2 linked regions of the Canis lupus familiaris genome follow. The protein of the gene in region 1 purifies or fractionates together with the protein of each later gene. This does not show direct contact. Links are inferred from orthologs where the notes say so. Each region holds a gene or a part of one and is shown on either strand. Other genes may lie near its edges.

Region 1 (4,257 bases):
CTTCAGGCCACACAGAGGGTAGCTCACCCTCCGCCCAAGGCAATCACTGTACTGAGTCCCTGTGACCCAAAGCCCTCCTGTGATTCTCCCTCAGGAAGAGGTCTGCGTGCCTGGGTCTTCAGGGGTCCCCAGGTTCTGCCCCCAGCTTCACTCCAACACATTCTTTTTTTTTTTTTTTAGAGGCCCCATTGGGATACTCCAACACTTTCTAACCCACATCACCACCTCATCCCATGGGCTGCCTCAGTTTTCCCCAAAATGGCTTTCCTATCATTGCCTTGGGTCTTCTGATCATGCTGGTCCCTACTTCTCAAAGCAGACCCCAAGGGTACCCTTCTTTCAGGGCATGGTCCAAGTCCTACCACCTGACTCCTGGGGCCTAATCTCCCTCCTCCAGCCCCTGGGGCTCCCCTGCAGCCAGCATGAGGTGATTCAGGTGACCATCAGGACCAAGGAAGGGGACACACCCTGAAGGCAGCCCAGGCCTGCAGGAACCTCTCTTCCACGGGGCTCCCAGGCCTGCTCTTCCTACCTCGGAGCTGGCAAACACCCAGCTATTGTCAGAACCTGGGTAGGAAGCCATAGTTGCAGAGGTCCCAGAAGCTGCGTCACTGCCACCTGCAGAGAAACATGCTCTTCAAGACCCAGTTTCCTTCAGCAAAGGCAGGATGCAGAGAGCAGCCTTGTTTGGGTCCCCAAGGCTGGGCTGCAGCTTCCAGAACCAACCCCTTGAACCCTAACACCCCACCTCTTCTCAGCAAATCAAAACCCGCCAACAGTCACAGAGAAGTTTACCTCTCTGGGGACCAGCGGGGCCTGGGGACTCTGGACTGACCTTGAAAGGTCAAAGCTCAGGGCTGGGCAGGTTCTGGGGGCCATGCAGGCCAGCCCCCTCAGGTTAGAGTCAGAGAACACAAAGGCCATATAGGCTGGCTAACTTGACTGTGCCAAGCATGAACAGCTGATGAGAAGAGCGAGAATCACCCAGACTCTCCCAAAGTCACCACCTCCTATGCCAGGGCTCAGAAGATAGGACCCGGTGGCCTGCTTCAGACTAGAGTGTCCACACACTGTCAGCCCTGGTTCAGGATTCTCAACACTGGCTGCACACTGGAATCACCTAAGATTCTGATTTGACTGGTTTCAGGGTCAGACTCAGGCCTGGGTCTTTTTTAAAACCTCCCAAGCAGTCCTCATGTGCAGCCAGGCCTGAGAACAGCTGGCAGAGCTTAGATCCATTCGCTGTACCCTCAGTAAATCTCCTTGTCATGCAGACTCTCCGGTCTAAAATCTGTTTCCTTTCTTTATGATCTGCAGAGTTTCATCTCAGGGAACTTGAAGCCCAGTGGGAAAGGCTTTAATGGCAGCTATCAGTTATAAACTTTAAAGTTTGCAAAACCACAGACAACAGAGCTGTGGTCCTGCCCCTTGCTAATCCACTCTGACCTGGCAGGATCTCTGACTTGGCAGGACAGCAGTGGGAAGTCACTCTAGCTTCCAGAGCCTGGCACAAAGCAGGGTAGGAAGAGGGAGACCTGTCCTGTCAGTCAAGGCCAGGACTGTCCCCTCAGCTGGGACCTGGCACAAGGCAGGAGGGACAGATGAGCTGACCCCCTCAGCCTTGGACTGTGGTCCTTCAGATGATAAGGGACTGTTTCCTATGGTGCCAAAAGGGTAGCAAGTGGAAAGGACTCTGTGAGCAAACCCCAGGAAGGGAAGTGAGGCTTGGGAAGAGGCAGTTCTTGGGGACCCCCTCCGCGGCCTCGGTTCTGTTTGACCTGGTGCAAGTCCTGCACAGGGCCCTAATAACCTTGGCCTTTCCAGATCCACAGCTGGGACAGAGCCCTCACGGTGTCTTCCCCAATGCACCTGCCTCCCGGACACCAGCAGCCATTCCACAAGGAGATGGGAGAATGACTGCAGGGCCTCCCCATAGCACACCCAACAGGACCTCCCCAGAGCCCTCTGGCCACCCTCTCCCCATCCCCAGTGGTTGCCTGGCTGTTAACAGGTGGTGGCAGGAAGGAAGTGGCAGCAGCTCAGGCTGAAGTCCCTGTTTATCTCTGGCCTTGTACAGCCTACTCTGGTCCTCCAGAACCAGGCACCATGGCAACCAGGGTGATGTCAGACCCACCGTCTCCATGGAAACTAGCCACGGTATCTGGGTCAGCAGGACCCACACTTCTGAGACCCAAACAGGAGGCCGTCTGTAACCCCAGCCCTCAGGGTCCCCGACCCTCCCGATGGGTTGGTCCCATTTCTCAAAAGACAGCCCCGGCCCCCCAGCCAGCGTCTCTTCGCCTTATTAGGAAGTTCCTCCTCAGCCCAACCTCTGCCCTCTCGCCGGTTCTCACCTCTCCCCGCCGGCCTCGCCGCCTTCACCCCTCCCCACGCACATCTAGGCAGGAGCCAACAGAAACACGCTTTCGGGCCTGCCGGGCCCTTCTGCTGCTCCCACTAGGCAGCCGTAGGGGGCACCGTGCCCTCCGACCAGCCACCCTCCGCCCCGTAGGGGGGCCCCCAAACCTCTGCAGCAGCGCCCGCCCAGGGCCAGAGCGCCGGCTCCCGTCCCGGGACGCGCCCCGGGTCCCCGGCGGAATGCACGCCCGGCAGCCCCCCCCCCCGGCCCACCGGGGTCCCGGAGCCCCCCTCGCCGCCCCGCAGGGCCTCACCTGGTCGCGCCCCGGGTCTTCGCCAGACCTGTTGCTGCCTCCCGGGGTTTCCAGCCCCCAGAGGGAGGGAGCGGGGAGGGAGGGGCTCACGTGACCGGGACTGGCCAATGGAAAGCCGACTTCCTGAGGGGGGGCGGAAACTTTTGGCCAATAAGAGACGAGTCGAGAGCCGGGGGCGCCAGGGCCTCGCAGGGTGGGACCCGAGCTCGCCTACCTGCCGGCCCCTGTGCTGCGCCGGCAGACACTGCCCCTACTTTCCTGGGGGGAAGACCCGACACGGAAGGCACGGGGTCACCTCCCGAGACAGCAGGACCAAGGGGCAAGGTCGGCCCTCGGACAGACAGACGGGACTGACGCAGCTGCGCGGGGGAGGGGACTGGGCGAGCGCTGAGCTGCTAAAATAGCTCTCGGGCGGTGCTCCCCGGCCCCTACCTCCGAACCCCTACACCTGACCGCCAGCCGAACAACGGGGGGAGGGGGGCGCCAATCCCAGCAGCAAGCACCAGCTGCATTGTCCCTAAGGCCCTGGCCGCCGGCCCGGCCCGGGAATGTGCCAGAAAGGAAAGGCTTTCTCAGGGACGCGGGGGGAGGGGTGCCCCCCGGCTTTCCCGGGACCGCTCGGGGCTTCCAGAACCCCCGGGCACGTACGGAGCCTCACCACTCGCGCATCCTTCCCACAGGTGACCTTCGTGCGCACAAACAGCCGGGAGTCCTTGTCTGGGTTTTCAAGTCATTTTATTAATCCAACCGTACAAAAGACCCCCACCCCCACATCTCTGCCACCCCCACTTTCTTCCAAATAGTGGAGTGAGAGGAAGAGAAGGATTGACGCACTCCCTCTCCCAGGAGCCACTTACAAAAAGGCGGAGATGGCGGTGGGGAGGAAGACATCACAAAAATAGCAACAGATAGAAGAGGGGCAACAGAACCAGGACACAACACAAAACTGGGTGGGGAGAGAAGCCCAGATCCCCCTCACTTCTTTCCCACAGCCTCAAAACTTGCTGGCTTGCTGGCTCCAGCTGGGCAGGCAGAAGAGTCTGCGGTATGCCTGCGTAAGTCTTCTCTTCACATGCTAGGGTCCAAGAGAAGGGGGCAGGGGACCGACCACTAGCAACTCTCTGGGCCACGTGGCTGCCTGCCTTCCACCCCACTGAGGAATGTGTGCATGAGAAGCAAGAGAGCCAGCTGCAGTTCAAGTTTCCTACCAGCCCCTGGCCCATCTCTGGCATGCAGAGCCTATAAAATAAAATACTAACACACGAAGCCCAGTTCAGGCCTCGGGCTGAGGGGAATAAGAGCTCCTAGATCACCTGGCCCAAGAAGATATACAGAAAGGTAAGGAAAGAGAAGCAAAATACATCCAGACTCTGGACTGCATTTCAGAACCACAGCAATGACCGTCCCACTGCCTCCCTCACCCATAGGCTGGAGCAGGGATCCTTCTATCAGATGAGGTATAAGAGCTCTGTGCCTTTCCAGGCTTTCCTTCAATCGAGCCAGGGATGCAGAATACAGGTGCCAAAAGCTCTAGACCAGAGTGGACACTACTGTGCAACAACCAGGGGAGGCAGAAAGGTTGGTA
Region 2 (4,250 bases), on another chromosome or scaffold:
AGCTCCCGCCCCATCCACAGGGGAGACAGCCAGGAACAGGCACTCCAGCTCAATAAGGCAGAGCTGGGGCCTGGGCAAACCCAAGGAAGCTAGGGAAGGCCTGCCAGCCAACAAACATATCCCGTGTTCCTGCCATGTGCCACCCTTCGTGGAGGCCAGGGCTATGAAGACCAACACAGCCTCCACTGTGCCCCCAAAGGGCCCACAGCCTAATAGAGGGAAAGAGACTTAAATAATTACAAATGACAAATGCTGCTAGTGGTTACAAGTCAAGCTTTGGAGCCACACCCCCTGGGTTCAAATCTTGTCCCTACTACTTACCTGCTTTGTGACCCTGGGCAAGTGACCAAACTATGCTACACCTTAGTTTGCTCATCTGTAAGATGGGGACAAGAGAGTACCCACATCACAGGGTTGTTGGGAGGGCTTAAAGAAGTCATGTTTAGCCTGCTGCCTGGCATAGAGGGAGCACTCTGTAAATGTTGGCCATTCTGCCAAAAAGCAACAAGGTGAGAGGACATACAGGGACGCGGTGTCAGGAGAGGGCTCTCTGGGGTGACATTCAAGCCATGGCATGATGAAAATGAAGAGCAAAGAAAGAGTAATCCAAGCAGAGGGAGCAGCATACTTGCTGCCCAAAGTCCCTAGGGCTGGGCATGCTCCCTAGGGCTGAGCATGTTTAGGAACAGCAAAAAGGCCAGTGTAGGTGGAAGAGTGGCAAAAGAAAGGAGAAGAGATTGGGGACGTGGTCGGGAACCTCATGTGGTCTAAATTCTAAGGGCAACAAGGAAGCATGGGAGGGTGCTGAGTAGGAAAATTCAGCAAAGGGTCCCCTGAGAGAGGCAACATCATAAGGCATCAGCAGACAAAAGGAGGTCCAGTATGTTCCAGACAGAAGGAACATCCTGAGTCTGACAAGGCAAGTTGATATGAGGGTCAGGTGAACCTACGGAGGTGGGGAGTGGCAAGTGGGCAGATCCCAGCATAGGTCACAGCCCCTAGTGTCCAGCTGGAGGTTGAGTCTTCCTCCTGCAGAGGACGGGGGTTGTGAAGGGTGTGTGAACAGACTGCATGGTCAAATCTGCATATCAGAAAGACCAAGGGCAGAGGCAGGGGTCAAGGCATGGAGAGAAAAGGATGAGCTCTAGAAGGTTCAGAACCAGTCAACTGGCAGTGGAACTTTCCCCAGCTCCACACCATCCCTGCTGCTCACAGAGCCTGTTTCTTTACCTTTACAATAGGTGAGTTCCTGCATCCTGCATCTCCCCTGAGAGGATCAGCCTGGCAAACCCACAGCAGGTGCTCAGCCATTCCCATGTGGGGTTTGTTACTAAGATTTGCTCCGATGGGAATCCCCAGTAACACCTATTTCATGCCAGGAGGACCCCCAACAGCTTCTTCAAGGAAGCCCCTCGGCAACACCCTAAAGATCTTCCTCCAAGAATACCTGCATCCCCTCCTGAGAAATCACAGTCTCTAGAGATCCCCAAGCAATCGGAGTACATAGCACCCACACACACAAATCCTGAACCCCCCAAATCTTGCACAGATCCCAAACTCTCAAAGAGTGCGCTGGCCACAGAGAAACCAGTAAATGGTCCTGAGGAGATAAACACCCTTCAGAAACCCTAAAAGTCCCTTACAGATCCCCCAAGAAGCCCCCTCATCCCTCGCCCTCCGAGAAAGCTCTAAAAAATCCAAAGTATCTTGACAGCCCCCAAAGACCACTGAGTCACCACTATGGACCCGTTAGGGACCTACCAGAATCCTTGAAGAGCCCCTAGGGGCCTCTCACCGGCACCAAGTCCCCATAGAGACCCCCAAATACCCACGGCTTCCCGATCGCCGCAGTTCTCTGTTGGGAACCCCCCTACCAGCTGCCCAAAGATCCCCAAGTTACCTTCCAGCTCCCTAAGGTCTCCCAAACAGCCTCTAGAATCTCGAAACCTATTCATCTCCCTCCAGAGACCCTCAAGCTGTCCCCTGCGGTTCCCCTCAGAGACCCCCAACCTGTCACTCTTTCGGGCCCCGGCCCCGCTCCCAGCCCCAATCTCACCTAAGCCTCGCCCCCGGTCTCCAAAACCGGTCTCCCCAAGCCCTCAGGACCCCCCATTTCCTGACCACCCCCAAGTCGCGGACCCAGCCGGGGGCCCAGGCGCCGACTGCACTCACAAGAGGTCCCGCCTTGCTGTCTTGCAGACGATGCGCAGGAAACGCCAGCCGCCACCGCCCACGTACACGCCGAGTGCCGCCGCCGCGCTCCAGCTCCACGGAAGCCCCAGCAGCCACAGCAGGACGAGCGAGACCACCGAGGCCGAGCCTGCACCGGGAGCCCGCATCCTGGGGAGGCGGAGAGCGCTGAGGCCGCGGGCCGCTGGGGCCCCGCCCCCACGGTCAGCTGGCTCCGCCCCCAGAGCGAGCTCCGCCTCCAGGCTCAGGCCCCGCCCCCGCGCCTGGAATTGGCCGGGTCCAGGACAGACCCCGCCCCCGGATCAGGGCTCCGCCCCGTCCTATGTTGGGCACAGGCCTTGTTCTTAGCCCGGCTCAGGCTTCTTTACCAAGTATTAGTCCAGGCCATGCCCTCAGACGCAGCTCTTCGACCCCGTCAGTCCCGGTCAAGCCCTACCCCGTGTCTTGACCTAGCGGCAGGACTCTGAACCCAAGTTGGCCCTACTCATGGGCTCCACACAGACACAGGTCCTTCCCAGCCACTTGACCAGCCCTTGCCTTGACCTAGCCTCCGTCCTCGGTTACAGGATCCACCCCCGTCCCCAAGCCTCTCCGCAGGTCCCGCTTTCCTCCAAGTCCCGCTTCTACCCTCACTCTGCCACTCACTGGGCCCCGCCCCCAGGTTGCCTTTGGTCCCGCCCACAGCCGCAAGCCCCGCCCACTCCAACGAGGCCCCTCCCCCTAGCCCCGGGCCTGGCCCGCCCCCAATCCCAGGCCCAGGTTCCACCCCTGGCCACTGGCACCGCCCTCAGGCTTGGGCCCAATCGTCACCCTCCGGGCCTCACTCGGGCGCACCTCGAGCCCCAGGCCCCTCCCCATCGGCCAGCCCAGACCCGCCCCAAGGCCCTCCTCCGACCTGTCTAGCTCAAAGCGCCTCAGCCGCTCAGCCGAGGTCCCCCTTTCCGGAGGCCACGACCATAGAGAGGGGCCCCGGGCCAGAGAGACGACGGCCAACGAGACCCAGGGGCTAGAACGGCCCGGGGAGCGCGGCCGCGGTCTTCCGGACGCCCAAGCCGCTCCCCCCGCCCGCCCCCGCGCGCCGTTCCGAAAGCACGTGCGCCCGCGGCCGGGGGCGTGGCTCCAGCCTGAGCCCCAGATAGCTGAAGGATTCCTAGCCCGCGGGACCAGAAAGTCCCGGTTCACACCCAGGGCCTGTCTGTCCTGGATTCCTGCCCCGTTTGTTCTAAATCCAGGCACCAGTGCCTCTTGGGTCTTAAATAGGCACGCAGGAACCCGGGGAGCCCTGAACTCACAGCTAGGGGCCCCAGAAGGTGCTAAATCCAACCCCCATCTGTTTTATTAATGATAACATTTCAAGGACCCAACCAATCCCAAATCCATACCGCAAAATCTTGTCGGTTAATCTTGTCCTGGGGTAACCTCCCAGGAGCCCAGGGAGGGCAAAATCCACACATACCAGGTCCCCACCCTCCCACACCCTCGGTCCCAAATGCCCGCCCGAGACCCAGAAGCCCTTCTAATCAGGCACGGGCCAGCCCGGCCTGGCTGCCCACCACCTGGTCCCTGACTGACCTGGAGCGAGCGGCTCACAGACCCTCAGTCTTGGGCTGCTTGCTCCCGGGTTCCCAGAAGCTCAGGCAGGGACGGTGAGGCCAAGACGCAGGATTCCAAACCTAGCCTGAGACGTGGGCCCTCCAGAACCGCTCTTCCTGCAGACGCCTGCGCCCTGCTCTGCCGTGCTGTGCCCATGCAGGCCACTGCCTTGGATCCCTCCCTCCAAGCTCCCCCTCCTTTGCCCCCCTGCCCACCCCACCCCAACTTGTTTTCTGCCTTGCTTTGGCCGACCTTCTCTGCGCTCTCCTTGGGAGGTGGCCAGGGCCTGCTTCCAGCACCATTTAGAGGACAGGGCTGGGCAGGCTCCCACCCCTCCCACATGCTACCATTGGTCCTTGCAGTTAACCAAGAGTGGGTGGACTGGGGGGCAAGGAGGCAGATCAGGAGGACAGGCCCAGAGCCAGCCACTGGTCGGCTACTTTCTTGGCAGTGGCTCAGCAGAGTCA

What was found. Proteins that work in one complex are often made in the same cells at the same time.
Region 2: the proteins of PBXIP1 (region 1) and SLC27A1 purify together in Homo sapiens (co-immunoprecipitation; 3 studies listed by BioGRID and IntAct, with this or other methods). This does not show direct contact. The link is inferred for Canis lupus familiaris from reciprocal best matches to the Homo sapiens genes PBXIP1 and SLC27A1.

Annotation. Positions count from the first base shown.
Region 1 is NC_049228.1:42,499,909-42,504,165, reverse strand, and holds the start of PBXIP1 (pre-B-cell leukemia transcription factor-interacting protein 1), read right to left. Parts: upstream 2,805-4,257; 5' UTR 2,673-2,804; intron 2,031-2,672; exon of another isoform or gene 1,998-2,030; intron 619-1,997; 5' UTR 584-618; coding exon 533-583; intron 1-532. UniProt on the Homo sapiens protein: Regulator of pre-B-cell leukemia transcription factors (BPXs) function. Inhibits the binding of PBX1-HOX complex to DNA and blocks the transcriptional activity of E2A-PBX1.
Region 2 is NC_049241.1:45,746,696-45,750,945, forward strand, and holds the start of SLC27A1 (long-chain fatty acid transport protein 1), read right to left. Parts: upstream 2,808-4,250; 5' UTR 2,579-2,807; coding exon 2,559-2,578; intron 2,341-2,558; coding exon 2,173-2,340; intron 1-2,172. UniProt on the Homo sapiens protein: Mediates the import of long-chain fatty acids (LCFA) into the cell by facilitating their transport at the plasma membrane.